Linked DNA regions of Arabidopsis thaliana. The protein of the gene in region 1 interacts with the protein of each later gene in a pairwise test. Each region holds a gene or a part of one and is shown on either strand. Other genes may lie near its edges.

Region 1 (8,553 bases):
ACCGAAGAAGTAATAAACTCATGAACAACTTTGGCTTCTTGTAAAGCTTGTGCATCTCCACAAAGCTGTGCTATCCAAAACAGTCTAGGTAAATCCACAACATAACCCTCATTTCTCCATGATTTAATAATTTCAACAGCTTTTTTAACCTTCCCTTCTCTGCAAATCGAATCCAATTCGTCCAACGAGCTATGACCACTATGATCTTGCTGAAAATGATTCCCACCAGTATTATTCTCTTGTGGAACTCCATTTCCAGTAGTTCCATACGAGGAACAACCATCACTACTTTGCCAATTTTGATTTCTCTGATTAATAATTTCACTATGTTCCCCATAACTCTGATTCCGATTGTATCCGTTTTGATAAAACCTATTCGTCGGATTCTGCCCAGAAACAGGGTTTAAGCTCTGCTCATATGAATTCTGCTGAAACCCACCAAGCGATTGTTCTCCACCGTTAAACCCATTTACATAACCAATGTGATGCGAAGAATTATCCATCGGATTTCCATTAGTAGGGTTTTCAAAACCCAATCTCAGCGCAGCTGTGCTCAGATAAGAAAATAAAGAAGAGTAGCGTAGCTTACAGGTAGAGCCGAGAAGCGAACCTCTCGTCAACGTGTATATCATTGGCCGGGGAGGAGATTGCTGATTGTCGCCGGGGAACAAAACCGGTTAACCGGAAGCAGAATCGATCCGATTAGAAGAGAAGAAGACCAACTTTATAAATCTGCGAAAGAAACTACAAACAGTCAAATGGGTTAATTTGCAGAGAAAGACGAAAAAAACGAATTCAATTTCTTCTCGATTCACAGAGTAAGCCGTATCAAGACGAACCTAAAACTCAGTTCCCTCCTATTCGTCACAAAAGCTAAAGAAGCTTCTTCTTTTTTTTTTTTTCCCAGTGAAACTCAGTCGCGTTTGTTCGGTTAACGAAAACAAAGGTTATCTTAATAACCCGGTATAACTCAGCATTCTAACCGTCTAATTTTGTCGCTGTCTTTAAATTGTGATAGGAAGAAAGAGATTGGCGAATTGGTTTATACTTCCACGTTACCGGTACACTGGTACGGTGGATTTTTACTTCCAACTGTATTATTCAAAAAATTTACAATAATAACAAGTTTTAAAAGTGAATTTAAGTTGAGATTTGCATCTTGTGTAGAATTAGAATGAAATTGCAGGTTCATGACTTGTTTTCTTGTTACTGCCAGTAGTTACCAGAATTGAGTCAGCTTTCGGTTTCAAATTTGATGCTAAGATGTCCTCTTGCAAGCAAGCAACCAAATTTTTTTTTTTAAAAAAAGACATCTCATTGCTCGTAATAACAACATCCTCAGCATTCATAATTTCATCACATAGAGTTTTTACTTCACAAGTTCTTATATCGAAGAGTCAGTTTTCATAACCATTAAAACATAACGCAAATCAATCAATATTGCCAGAGGTTGCATTGCATAAGTAGCAGTAGTAACTAATTGCCAAAGAAAGTCTGGTTGAAGATACGAAACTCGTTTTGATTCTATAAGCAAGCAAACTACTCAAGAAAAACATGTTAAACTTTGAAGAACCACGACACATCTTTCAAAAGGATCCATACCTTTGTGAAAATTAATGGATTCTGCTTCAGAGTTTCATACTGCCATGCAAACAACCTACCTTTGCTGGAGACATCTGAAGAGTGAGCTTGGACAATCTCCGATCACAATGCACATGCGACAAACTAAGTAAGAAAGCAGGCATGTGTTCCCGTTCATCTCGATAATTTTCCATGAAAGTAAGTCATGAGAACAAATCAGAATAACGAATCAACACCGATCACAAACACATTTTCTGGATGAGCATCTATTACATTAACCCCATTCATGCCATTGCACACTTACCTCTCAGTAGGCCACAACACTTATTTCCAGAAAGAATAAGCATCAATAGGCTATGCGTCTGGAAAAAACACCGAAAATAGAACCAATGTAACTGAAACAACGTTGTGTTCTACATCTAAACGTATTAGGCTTAGAGAGCTAGTAATAGTAAAAATATGGTAGCATCTACATCATGCACTTCTAAGAAAGCAACCAGAGGAGACACAACACCACAAAAGATAGCACCGCAACATATATCGAGTGAACGAAAAAGTGTAAAGAAATATTACTCAGAACTTGACATGATGTCAGCAAAATTATCCAACCAGACTGCAAATAAGGAAGCCTGCTCAAACCACAGCATTCAGTCCCTGTGGACAAAGTAGACTCCAGGACACCTGAAAGAAGCCCCTGAAACAAGCCGCAATATCAAGATAGCGACAAAATAAAAATGGCATAGAAGTCAGTTATGTTTTGAGGGAGAACAGGTATGGTATTGCACCACTCAGATGGTCAAGGGAGAAGGTGTAAACCCCAGCATCAGAGTTAGACCTCTAGAAGCAAAAGGTCTGCATGCCCGGATAAGGCAACATTGTTCCTGAAAAATGCAGGGGGAAATCAATATTGTTCAGAGGAATGACTAGGAAACTCACACTAACACATTTCATAGAGCTACAGGAAGGAGCACTCAATAGATGAGACATTCAGACTTCATATTGCACTGAAGTAAAATCCACATAGGAAAATACGATTGACCCATCTTGTTATCAAGTATATCAACACACAAGTGTGGAAAGTTAACACGAAACGAGGAACAGAAAATCGTGCTATAAAATTGATATTACAGATTTAATGAACAGAAGACAGCCCTTCAAAATATGACATCTCAGAGTATCGATACATGAATTTTGCTTTAACATCCTCCAGGAATTACAATAAAGGAATCTAAGGGAAATCTGATAAAGCAATAGAAAAGAACCTCGGAAACTTTCATTCTAATCAGAATTTCCATACATACTTGTATCTGCTGTCTATACACTTATAAAATCCACTGGAAAAAGAACAATATATGACAGTTGATTCCACATTTCAGGAAAGTATATCCAAGACAGGTAGATCAGACTTGACCATAGAAATCAAAAAGAAAAATTTGAATTCTGATTGATACTAACAAAATTGACTGCGGGTACCAGTAGATATCAAATTTCTTACCTCCATCAAATGTTCATCATCTGATATATTAAGAGAAAGACGAAGATCAGTTAATGATGCTTCTTGCTCCCAACTTAGGGGACCAGAAGAAAATAATTCCCCCAGAGTACTGCGGTAAGAATATAGTTCCGACCTACAAGAATTTCTTGCTCCATCACCAACTGATGAATGTTTCCACCTTGGTTCTTCCCCCAGGCCACAAGAAGATTCAGCATCGCTGCTACATGAGTCTGCCTGTTGAGTAGAGCCATCTAGCATACAAGGTGGCATGTTACTCTCATCATAACTAGTAGCACTACAACTACCAACTGAGCATACATCGCTATCAGAACAATCATCAGCACGAACACTCTCACTAAACCCTTTTGATCTTACCCTGACAATTTGACAGTAACCAGTTTTGTGATTGTTTAAGGAAGCTTGCACGTGAGATTTACCACCCCTGTTTTCTGGTCGGCAAGAAATGGCATCTACCTTTTGCTGCTGTCCTTCTTTTTCCAATGAACGCATCTTCTTAGGGTTTCCTGTACATGATTCAGCACATTCAGACCAGTTGTAAGGTGACGGCCTCTTTAACAATCTAGCAGAGACCACGCTAGGCTCGTGGAGAGGCATGCTGTTCCTGTGGGGCTGTAGCTTCTGATGTACGTCTGATCCAGTCAGTGTGGATGACTTCAGAGAACCAGATATCTGAGAAAATGATTACAAGCCAGTTAGTCAACATGTAAGCTCATCAGCACATTAGTTAAAAAATCATTTCAAACAAACAATATCGTAGCAAGACAATGCAGATTGCCACCCCCAACCAGACCCAGAACTTCTTAGAAATGGAAGAGGGGACATCATGACTAAGCCGGAAATCTTAATGGAGAAAAGAAAAGAAAAAAAGACATTAACAAGAGTATATTAGATGTAAAAAGTGAGAGCATAACATATAGGATGAAAATAAATTACCTTTCCAATTGCAACCCATCTCTCATCTTGCCACGACTTTCGGGCCCTGAGGTTAACTTTGTGAAATGTGAGTTCTTCTGGAGTCCCAAGTAAGCGAACCACATAGTAATGTCCAGATAACTCCTCTCGAACTGTGGCAGCTTTCCAGGAAAAATTATCAAGAACTTCCACCAATTCACCAGTATCCCATCTCTCAACATCCACAAGTGGAGGACAAGGCCTAATTATCTTCCTTGGAACTTTCTCCATAACTGCCTCCTCGTGTTCAATTTGGAAAGAGTAAAATCTAACATTGTAGGTATGTCCATTACCCGAGACAATCTCAGCACATCGCCACGCACCATAAGGCGCCTCTTTGTTGCTAAATACCTCAACTCTACTTCCTTTTCTGATTCTCATGATTGTTTACTCAGTCGACTAGAATACCTGCAAAAGAGAAATATCCATATGTGAGCAAACATCCAAAGCAGAAGATCATACATTCTTAATAAAACAAACAACTCTAAAAACATATAGTTTGATGTAATAATCCACAAACTCTGGAACACAGATCATAAGAAAGCCGCAACAAAATTTAGATGAATCAGTAAAATTATGCGTAAACAGAAAGAAGAACCAACGTAATCGCGATCAATCACAGGAGATACAAGCTAAGCAAGATTAATCCAAATTTACTTCCAAACAGATTCTTCAGACAGCAAGAATAATTCGAATTAGGACAAACCAAAAAAACTTCCAAACGATTGAAAAGGGTATCGTAAAATCAATAAACAGCGAAGAATCTCGATCCAATTGAAACAACTTTCATAGAGATCGAAGGATAAAACACCAATATTGAAACAATCAACAAAAAGGGAGAAAAACTGAAACAAGAGATCACCTTCTGGAATGTCTGAATGAGACTTTGAACTCCCGAAGTTTTTGAATTTCTCTCTTAATTTTCCAGAGATCGTGATCGAAAACTTGAAAGAGAAATTGGGGATTAGGGTTTCGGGTAAATGGAATTATGGAAAACAACAAATTGTGCGTTAAGAAATTTATATAATTTGTTTATTTTTATTTTATTTTTAATATTTGGTGACGTGGGATTTAAGTTAATATCTCTTTTAAACCAGAAATAGGAGACAACCCATAACATTAATGACGGTTCGATTGTGTAAATTAATATGTTTCACTCGCTTTGCTTAGAGCGTGGACACGCGCGTTAATTGTGTGTTTTAAGTTTTTTGATACGCTCCTTAATTTAAAAGCTTCAACAAGTCATATATAAATTGATTTATATTTTCATATGCTTCAGCCTTTAATAAGTACTTAAAATCTGATTTGATAAAATCAAGTTACAGGTACTTTCAATATGTATAACACTCAAGTTCTAAATCTGTTAAAAATTTGTGTAGTTAATAAATAGTCAAATTACTAACTAGTATGGTACTATCCTATCTTTAATTTATAATGATACGTTAAGCTGTGTCCTGGGTGGTTTAGTTTGAAGTTTCAACCACCATCGGAGTCTTTATTCTAGACAAATATTATTTATAGTTGATACAAGCCATGTTACAATATATGAGTCTTCATTCTGTTTTTTTTAAGTTGCGTCAATTATAATCAGCTGAGTATATGAACGTTCATTTTGATAGAACTTATTAAGTCATACATTTGTTTGTTTGACGACGGAAGACAAAAGTATTTTATTAGAAAAAGTAAATTGGAAGGGAAAGTGTAAACTGGCTTATCAAGTGGGGTACGTAGAGGGTAACGTGTTAGGAAGAATAATCCGCATTATGAGGTTATCGACGACGTAAACATTCTCTTCTCTCGCTTTTTAAGTTGCTTAAGAATCATTTCAAAGTTACTATTAAAATCTTATTTTGTTATACAATGATAAATGTAAAGAGACGTGAGTAAGAGTACAACACCAAACTCATACCTTAAAGCCATCATATTCTCTTTTTGAGTTCGTTAGATAGAAAAAACAACAAAAGTTTCAAACTTGAAATGGCCCATAAACTTGAAACTTTTTGTAGTTAAAATCCATTGTTATTTTGACTTTTTTTTTTTTTTTTGATTTTAGCCTTTGGATTGGGAATAATACCAACCAAATTCGAACCTAATAAATAGTTTAATAGTTTCAAGATACTATTTGTAGAAATTAAAGTATATATATTTTACGGTTGACCTAGAAAAGTTAGAGTCGTCTATTTTGATCGTAGCGTTGGATTAATCAATCGAACCGGTCAATAAGGTCAAAATCAGAGAACCATGCTTTACCGGTTTACCATGGTCCTTACAAAATCAATGTGCACGTATGTAGGTGCAAAAATAAAAGTAATCATACACTCAGTGAGTTCATGTAAATCTATAGCTAACATTTCTAATTTTTGATCTATAACTACAACTCTTTAGAACTTTGAGTAAGAGTCCTAAACTGCAACTTTCCCCTCCAAATTCATCTCCAATCCAATAATTTCCACCATTCTATAAATCTCATCAGATTTTGGATGAGACTTATCCCCTGAAGAGAAACCTTGCATCGTTAAAGACCCTTCAGTGTCACCAACATCGATCCAACTGAATCCAGCTTCTTTACTTACGTTTTTCTTCCTCATTGCTTTCCTGATCTCTGCAGCTTTATCCCACTCTTCTTTCTCTGCATAGATGTTATACATCTGAACGTAAGAACCTGACAGTTCCGGTTTCATTTCCATTGCAAGCTCAGCCACTTTTGCTCCCATTTTCACATTCCCGTGCAGCCTACAAGACCCGAGCATGCTCTGAAGCATCGACTCTCCTGGTCCTCCAGGAACCTCACTCATAAGCTCTTCTGCTTCTTTCAATCTCCCAGCTCGGCCAAGCATATCAACCATACATGAGTAATGCTCATGAGACGGCTCAAGATTGTAGACTTCGATCATCATGTTGAAAATCTCATAGCCCTTGTCTACCATTCCTTTTCTATTACAAGCTGTTAACACAGAGAGAAAAGTGACTAGGTCTGGTGCTACGTTTTCTTTAATCATCTTGTGGAACAAGTTCATCACGGTTTCAAAATCACCGTGGCTTGAATAGGCTGATATTATCGATGTCCAAACAAATTGGTTCTTTTGAGACATCTCGTTAAAGACTTTCTCAGATTCATCAATGTTCCCACGCTTGGCGTACATATCAAGAAGCGCGCTTGAAACAACAGGACAACTATTCAAACCCAATTTCAGTAAATGAGCATGGCAACGCTGACCTTGCTTTACAGATATATCCTCTGCAAAAGCTATTGCATTCAAGACACTTCCGAAAGTGTATTCATTCGGCATTGTTTCTGCTGCTGCGGATAAGAACATCTTGAGAGCTTCATGAGAGAATCCATTTTGTGCAAATCCAGATATCATAGCATTCCAGGATATAATCTCCCGGAAAGTTATATCCTCAAAAGCCTTCTTGGCATCTTCCAGAGCCTCAAACTTGGCATACAATGTGATGAAACTGTTGCCTACAGATGGTTCTGAAACAAAGCCTGTCTTGATGCATAGCCCATGAATTTTAAGCCCTTCTTTGATTTGCTCATTGCACTTCACGGCATTGATTAATCCAACAAAAGTGACCTCGTTAGGGTAAACTCCATCAAACCGCATATTAAGGAAGATGGACACAGCATCGTCTTTATTCGAGGAAATCATTGTTGTCCAAGAGACAACATTCCGCTCACTCATTTGGTGAAACACTGATTTCACAGCTTCCAAAACCCCACACTTGGAGTACCTTGACATCAAAATATTACCAACTTCTAAAAGTGATTCATAACCTCTTTTTATGCACAAACCATGAATTTGCCTGGCCAGCTTCAAGTCAGTTTCGTGACAACAGGTAGTAATCACGCTAGTAAAAGACACGTGATCAAGCTCCACACCTTCTCGCATCATGTCCCTAAAGATAACCACTGCTTCAAACCCGAAAGTGCCTTCTTGAGAAAGTCCTGACAATAAAGAGTTCCATGAAATCATATCCTTAAACGACATTTCATCAAAAACTCTCCGAGCTCCTCTGAAACTTCCAGACCGCGAATACATTGTAATAAACGAGTTTCCAACGACAAGATCAGACTCCAGTCCGGTTTTCACCACAGTTGACTGCAACTGCAATCCTAAAAGAAATCCTTCAGAGCCCACACAGAAGCTAAGAGCAGTGGAATAAGTGAATGCGTCAAAAACTACTCCAGCAGATTTCATCCTAACAACAAAATTCAGAGCAATTTGATTGTCATCAAACCCAGAGAGTATAGTGTTCCAAGAAACAACATCAGGATCAACCAGATTCTCAAATATGCACAAAGCATTGTCAAAGCGACCGGCTTTACGGTACATACCCATTACTGCGTTTGAAACACAAACAAAGGAAGTGAACCCAGAAGTTGTGGAAAACCCGTGGATTTGGCAGCCGCGTTTCAAGTCTCCACGACATGCTTTAAGCGCAAGACAAAGAGTAACTTCGTCCATATGACGACCAAAATAACCCAGCTGGAGATTTTCCTT
Region 2 (6,435 bases), on another chromosome or scaffold:
TTGACTTCTCACCATTCATGGTCTTGATCGTTGCTATCCTGAATGATGGTACTATCATGACGATATCAAAGGACAGAGTAAAGCCTTCTCCACTTCCTGATTCATGGAAACTCAAAGAGATATTTGCCACCGGCGTTGTTCTTGGCACTTACCTAGCAGTCATGACTGTAGTTTTCTTCTGGGCTGCAGAGAGCACTGACTTCTTCTCTGTAAGAGAGTTCTATCTTACTTTTATGACCAGCTCGAGTAAGTGTATGTGTTGATCTTCAGTTTTCTCTTGGTGCAGGCAAAGTTTGGGGTGAGATCTATCAGTGGAAATCCGCATGAGCTAACAGCAGCTGTTTACCTACAAGTTAGTATCGTGAGCCAAGCGCTTATCTTTGTAACAAGGTCGCGAAGCTGGTCATATGTTGAACGTCCTGGCTTCTGGTTGATCTCTGCCTTTTTCATGGCTCAGCTGGTAAGTTAAAGATTCAGTACTCTTACATAAGAAGCTTCAGTATATACTGACACTGTTGTTGTTTTCATTCCAAGATTGCTACTTTGATTGCGGTATACGCAAACTGGAATTTTGCAAGAATCAGAGGTATTGGGTGGGGATGGGCAGGAGTTATCTGGCTCTATAGTATAGTCTTCTACATCCCATTGGATATCCTCAAGTTCATCATCAGATATTCACTGAGTGGAAGAGCATGGGATAATGTCATTGAGAACAAGGTTTGCTTCTCAGGCCAATACTGATGAGAACAAGAACACAGTAGTATAATCCTTTTTCCTAACCTTTGTTCCTCTGTTCAGACCGCTTTCACGTCAAAGAAAGACTACGGAAAGGGAGAGAGAGAAGCACAATGGGCACAAGCGCAACGTACACTTCACGGATTGCAGCCAGCTCAAACCTCAGATATGTTCAATGACAAGAGCACTTACAGAGAGCTTTCAGAGATAGCTGATCAAGCCAAGAGACGAGCTGAAGTTGCAAGGCAACGCTCAAGTAACTGATTATTCCATACCATTAGGTTCCTCAGAAAATGGGCTTACAAACATTTCTTGTCTTGTAAATTTCAGGTTAAGGGAACGTCACACCTTGAAAGGTCACGTGGAATCAGTAGTGAAGCAGAAGGGACTAGACATTGAGGCTATCCAGCAACACTATACCCTGTGATTTCAGAAACAAGTGTTTCTCAGTTTAGTTTTAGAACCCCACAAGAGTATTGAATAAATAACCACTTCCATAATTAGAGAATGCTGCAAAAAGAAAATTGTTTCTTTTGTTAGCAGTGGATGTGGCTTCTTCTTTTTTTATATTTTTGAGATATTCTTGTTTTTTCCTTTTTTACAAGAGTAATAAGATCTTACAATTACTTAGAATTCTTGAGTAAGTTTCTTCTAGTCTCTGTCCGCGCAAGAGAGAATGCAACAAAACCAAAAAAAAAAAGAATGCTCAAATCTTAGTTGCAAATGAGAAAAATCAGTGTTTCAAATCTCACTGAACTGAATTCCCTCCTTCAGTCTAACCAGACAAAGTCTCCAAAGCTTTCTCTAACTTGGATGACTTGAGCTCTTCTATTCCATAAACATAAAGATAAAGATAAAGGCTCCTTACTAAGGAGAAATATAATGGCACAAAGTTTGAAAGAAAAGTTCTGATACAGATCAAAACTGTTACAACCCATAGAGCTATAATGAATTAAAAGATAGGTATAATATGGTTCAAGCTTCCCTCGTTAGAACTAACTATAGATGGCTTTACTAAACTCTCCAGCTACTTCATATCGACTAAATGATGATTTACTGATGCGGCTTTGTCTTCACATGCTCAAGATACCAAAGCGCTCCTTCTGCTGCATGCTCAGCAGCAGCTTTCTTTTTGCGTCTGGGATCCCCAAAACACTCCAAAACAGTTTTCCCTGAAGAATCTCTAATCTCAACCATAACTTTGTATGTAAATCTGAACCAAAAAACCAAGTTGATGCAAAAAAGATTGCGACTCAAAAAATAAAAGCAAGTGCAGGTTAGAAGATGTTTACTTACAATCTCAAATGGCAAGGTCCATCAACATTGCAGCATTCATAAACAGGAGGTCTCCAACGCTTGGAAGCACACATTTCGTGTAACACCGATTTAGCTGAGCCTCTCCTAGTCTTAGATTCATCATCTGGAACACAAATTTCAGAACAAAATGACCAAAATTCTATCTTCTATACCAAAAATTGCAATCTCTGTTGGTTTCCGAACAAGTTTACATCATAATTAGCAAAAGAGGTGAAGAAAAAATGAATGAACCTTTAGATATGGGTTTGGTGGTGGTGGTGTGTTCTTCATCTGGTTTAGGAGCAAGCTTCTTCTCTAGTGAAATGCTTCTTGTGCTGTTAGGATCAATTTGAATGTTAGAGAAGGAAGAAATGGCATTGTCTTCTTCTTCAAACTTGAAGTCAGTCTTCTCTTGGAATCTCTGCATTCCCACATTATGATGATCTTGCGCCATTGGTTTCTAACAATTGACAGAAGCAAAGTTGAGATATTTATTACTATTAACCCATGATATAGCCAAATCACAGAAGAAGAATCATCTACAAATAGAAAACGCAGAGATTGTTCTCTGTTTCAAACCCAGATGATCAATTTTTTTGTTAGCGAGAAAGAAGAGAATATGGTTGGAGTGAATGAATATTTACCATAGAGGGAATAGAAGAAGGGTCGAGAGGAGGAATATCTTTGAGACTGATGATGATCGATCTTGACGGTTTTTTGGTTATCCGCTTCGTTTCCTGATCCTCCATCTTTCATATTACTACTCCTTGTCTAATTCCCAGATATCTTTCTTTGGGAATCGAGAAATTGAAAATTTTATCGATCATCGACAAAACGGATAAGGTTCATTAATTAATTCATTTCCCCACAACAACAAACTCTGTTATAAAAAGTCAACGTTTTTATTTATTTATATGTTAAAGCTTTTAAACCTTTAACTTTTACTAACCAAACTCTACTAACTTGTCTCTCGGTTCCATTTAAGCAAAACTTCCGAATTTTTTGTAGCAGTGATTAAACATACAACAATAAATTCTCCGGAAGAACCAACATAAGAGACAAATTCATAAACGCATTGATCTGTTACAAGAAAAAAAAAAAGAAAGGGGAAATGTTTTTTTATAAAATCCGCAATGATCCACCGAGTTCTACTGGTAGAAGAGGGATGAGTGAGTGCAAGACATCGGTTATAAGTGGTCTGTAACTTGGCTCCGGCTGTACACACAACACCGCCACCGCAGCTACCTGTCCAAAGAAAATATAACACAAAGTTCAAAGAGGAATCTTTTTCCTTCTATATTTGGCTAATGTGTTTTTCGTAAAATCTGTGTGAGATTTTGTTGAAGCTTTTTTACCTGATATAGATGCTTCAAATCCATGGTTCCTTTGATTGCAGGATCCAATATGTTTGGTAGATTAGCTCTATCACTCAGCTTAGGTACTGCCTGATGATCAACAAAGATCACAAGTCAGAGGATTTCCTGCTAAACGAAGCCACTATCTCGTGAAAGTTTTATTATGTACCCAAGTAACGATGGATTCTGGTTCAGAAGACGGTTTCTCCACTGATTTCTTCCCGAGGAGAAGTTCGAGCAGGATCACTCCAAATGAGTAGACATCATTCTTGTCTGTAACTTTCCCTGAAAGATGATTACAGAATGGTCGAAATTTGAGCATCTCGTTTGGCATATATGTCAAGATCGAACCCCGAAAAAAGATTAACTCCTTACCATCAAGAAGATCCTCAGAAGCCTTGTGTATCAGGTTTTTATTCTGCGTGGTCAAAACCGTGGCAAACCCAAAATCGGATATCTAAAGAGAAGCAAATGTGGCAACAGATCCTTAAGACTCATATTGTATGGAGAATACAATAAGTCTAAGAAGAATTTTCTACATTATATCATTTTCTCTTTTACCTTTGCATTGAAATCGGAGTCCAGAAGGATGCTAGATGATTTCAAATCTCTGTGAACTACAGGAGGATGGCAATGCTCGTGAAGATACTCTAATCCTCTTTATGAAAAAAGAATACTTTGTAAGCATACAAATATATGTTCTTGGAGATCACATGGAACTACTAAATGTTTGAAAGTATTATCAATGAATGGACTTTACCTCGCTATATCAACCGCTATCTTCATCCTGAGCTGCCAAGTTAAACCTGAACCTTGACTAGGCCCTTAGAGCATTCAAAAGCACAACAAAATCAAAATCAGATGACAAAAGATGGAACAAACATGGATCATATCCCCTTACCATGTAACTGACTCTCCAAAGATCCATTCTGCATCAACTCATACACAATACAACTCGTTTGCCGATATACGCAAAACCCCAATAAGGAAACTATGTTCTGATGCCTGATCTTAGCCAACCAATCTACTTCAGTCTGCATTAGAAAATCAACAAGAGAAAGCAAAAAACCGAGTTATGGTTTATCGAATGAGATGGTGCGATTCTGTATAATCATCTTAGGGGTCAAACCTCAAACTGTTTTTCAATGTCTGTCTCCCCACCGCCATCAAGTTTCTTCACAGTGACTGAGGATTTTTCATCGAGACAAGCTCTGTAAAGGCATCCACGACCACCTCGGCTCAACACATTACTATCACTAAACTTGTTTGTTGCAGATTCCAGCAATTGATATTCATACACAGGGATGGTTCCTTTCCTCACAGAATCAATCTTGTGTACAGTCGGTTTCGTGGTTACACTCTTCACCGAATCTTCAGATAACCAAAGCACCAAAATAAGCCATAACAAAACCAAGGAAATTACAAAAATATAAAGAGATAGAATTGAATACCGGATTTGCGTTTGATACCGGTGAAGCTGTTCTTCATATTCCTGTACCTCCATAGCAAGAGATACACAAGGAACATGACTGTGACACAGAGCAGAGATGATGAGACTATAAGAGCAATTAGAATCTTCTTGTTCAAGTCCTGGCGAAGCACCACTTTAACAATGGGAGGTCCTGAGCAAAGTTAAATTTAAATAAGGGATAAAATTCAATTTATTTGCTTAATTATCGGAAAGTTTTCAGTTTTAATTGGGAAACAGTATCAATTCAACTAAATTCAATTCCTTTATGAAAGTATGAGCAAACACATTTCGACAATTTCAAGAACTAGTAAGACCCAATCACCAAATATTGATATTTTTGTTCTTAGGGGCAACATGGAGAAAATTTGGAAAGGGGAAACTAATAAGTACCTGGGGATTGAGCTCCCATTCGTGGAGAAGCCTGAGAAATGGGGATTTCGGGGGAAGCACCAGAAACGTAGACAACGGAAGATTCTTGTGATTTAGTAGCAGTGGAGAAGAAGAAGAAACCAAGAAGAACCCAAATGGGTAGCAAATGACGAAGGAGACACATATTTAATTTTGTTGTCTGGTATCAACAAATATGCAGAGAAAAGACAAAAAGAGAGAGAGAGAGAGATAAAGAGTACGAAGCTGCTTCGTGTTCTATCTAATTCTTTTATGGAGATGGTGAAAAATGCTAGAGATTATCTTTGTCTGGAGGAGATGTAGACAAGAGACACTGTTGGAGTTGGGAAACAGAGAGAGAGAAGGACAAAGGTTTTAGGTGTTTGGTCTTCATGTGGCAGTTATGAAAAGGTGGACAAAAAGGCTAATAAAGCAGCAAAGAGTGCCTAATCCCAGACGTGGTGATAAGACGTGGAGTTGTGGAGAGAGTGAGGAGGAGGATGTGTAGTTAGCAAAACAGTTTCTTCCCATTAGCCAATCTTTAAAATTTTGATTTTCTCTCTACCATTACAACAATTTAACATCCCAATGTTAGAGATGATGCTGATACTACTAGTTGACAAATAGAATTAAACCTTTTATACGTAAAGCTAACAGATTTTTATCTATTAATTAAAGCCTTGTTCCTTTTTCTTTAACGTATAGTTATACTATATCTTTATTAAATTAGAAAAATCAAGAATACAAAGAAAGTACATAAAGCAATCAAAGTACAATCCAATTACATAAATGGTGTTTTTAATGTTCCTTCATATTCATAAGTTTAGTCTTTTAATTTCCAAGAAAAAAAAAATACATCTTGTCGTAAAAGAAATTATTATTTTTAATCAGATTAATAAAATGGTGTGATATATGGAAAGAATATGGATTGAGAATGGATTGTGTAATCTCTCGATAGAGTTGTTTGCATCGAGGCACAGTAATCCAAATGATTCGATTGGGTCACTCCCCAAATTCAATTCATGCGGATTTAGTGAACAAAACGACAAGTCATGGTTTAATAGAGTGCATCCAAGAATTTTATTCTTTTTATTTTAAAAAAATACAGACGACAAAGGTCCAAAAGTTTGAGCATTATTCATGTGAACTCTCTATGTCTGTCCTCTTCAAACTTTAATTACCGACACAAGT

Evidence for each region.
Region 2: the proteins of AT4G32440 (region 1) and RTL1 interact in a two-hybrid assay, tested with the Arabidopsis thaliana proteins (one large-scale study listed by BioGRID).

What each region holds. Positions count from the first base shown.
Region 1 is NC_003075.7:15,653,171-15,661,723, reverse strand, and holds AT4G32440 (Plant Tudor-like RNA-binding protein), read right to left. Parts: upstream 5,040-8,553; 5' UTR 4,911-5,039; intron 4,457-4,910; 5' UTR 4,430-4,456; coding exon 4,031-4,429; intron 3,767-4,030; coding exon 3,077-3,766; coding exon of another isoform or gene 3,032-3,076; exon of another isoform or gene 2,625-3,031; intron 2,463-2,624; coding exon 2,370-2,462; 3' UTR 1,501-2,369; downstream 1-1,500. Other genes in the region: MEF8S (Pentatricopeptide repeat (PPR) superfamily protein), read right to left, coding at 1-632; AT4G32430 (Pentatricopeptide repeat (PPR) superfamily protein), read right to left, coding at 6,451-8,553.
Region 2 is NC_003070.9:30,310,954-30,317,388, reverse strand, and holds RTL1 (RNAse THREE-like protein 1), read right to left. Parts: upstream 2,868-6,435; 5' UTR 2,781-2,867; coding exon 2,676-2,780; intron 2,492-2,675; coding exon 2,284-2,491; intron 2,156-2,283; coding exon 2,032-2,155; coding exon of another isoform or gene 2,028-2,031; exon of another isoform or gene 1,949-2,027; coding exon 1,789-1,948; 3' UTR 1,387-1,788; downstream 1-1,386. Other genes in the region: HA9 (H[+]-ATPase 9), read left to right, coding at 1-209, 287-460, 535-717, 799-980, 1,066-1,162; AT1G80640 (Protein kinase superfamily protein), read right to left, coding at 3,151-3,276, 3,387-3,476, 3,556-3,671, 3,762-3,843, 3,948-4,044, 4,147-4,210, 4,288-4,420, 4,516-4,757 and 2 more.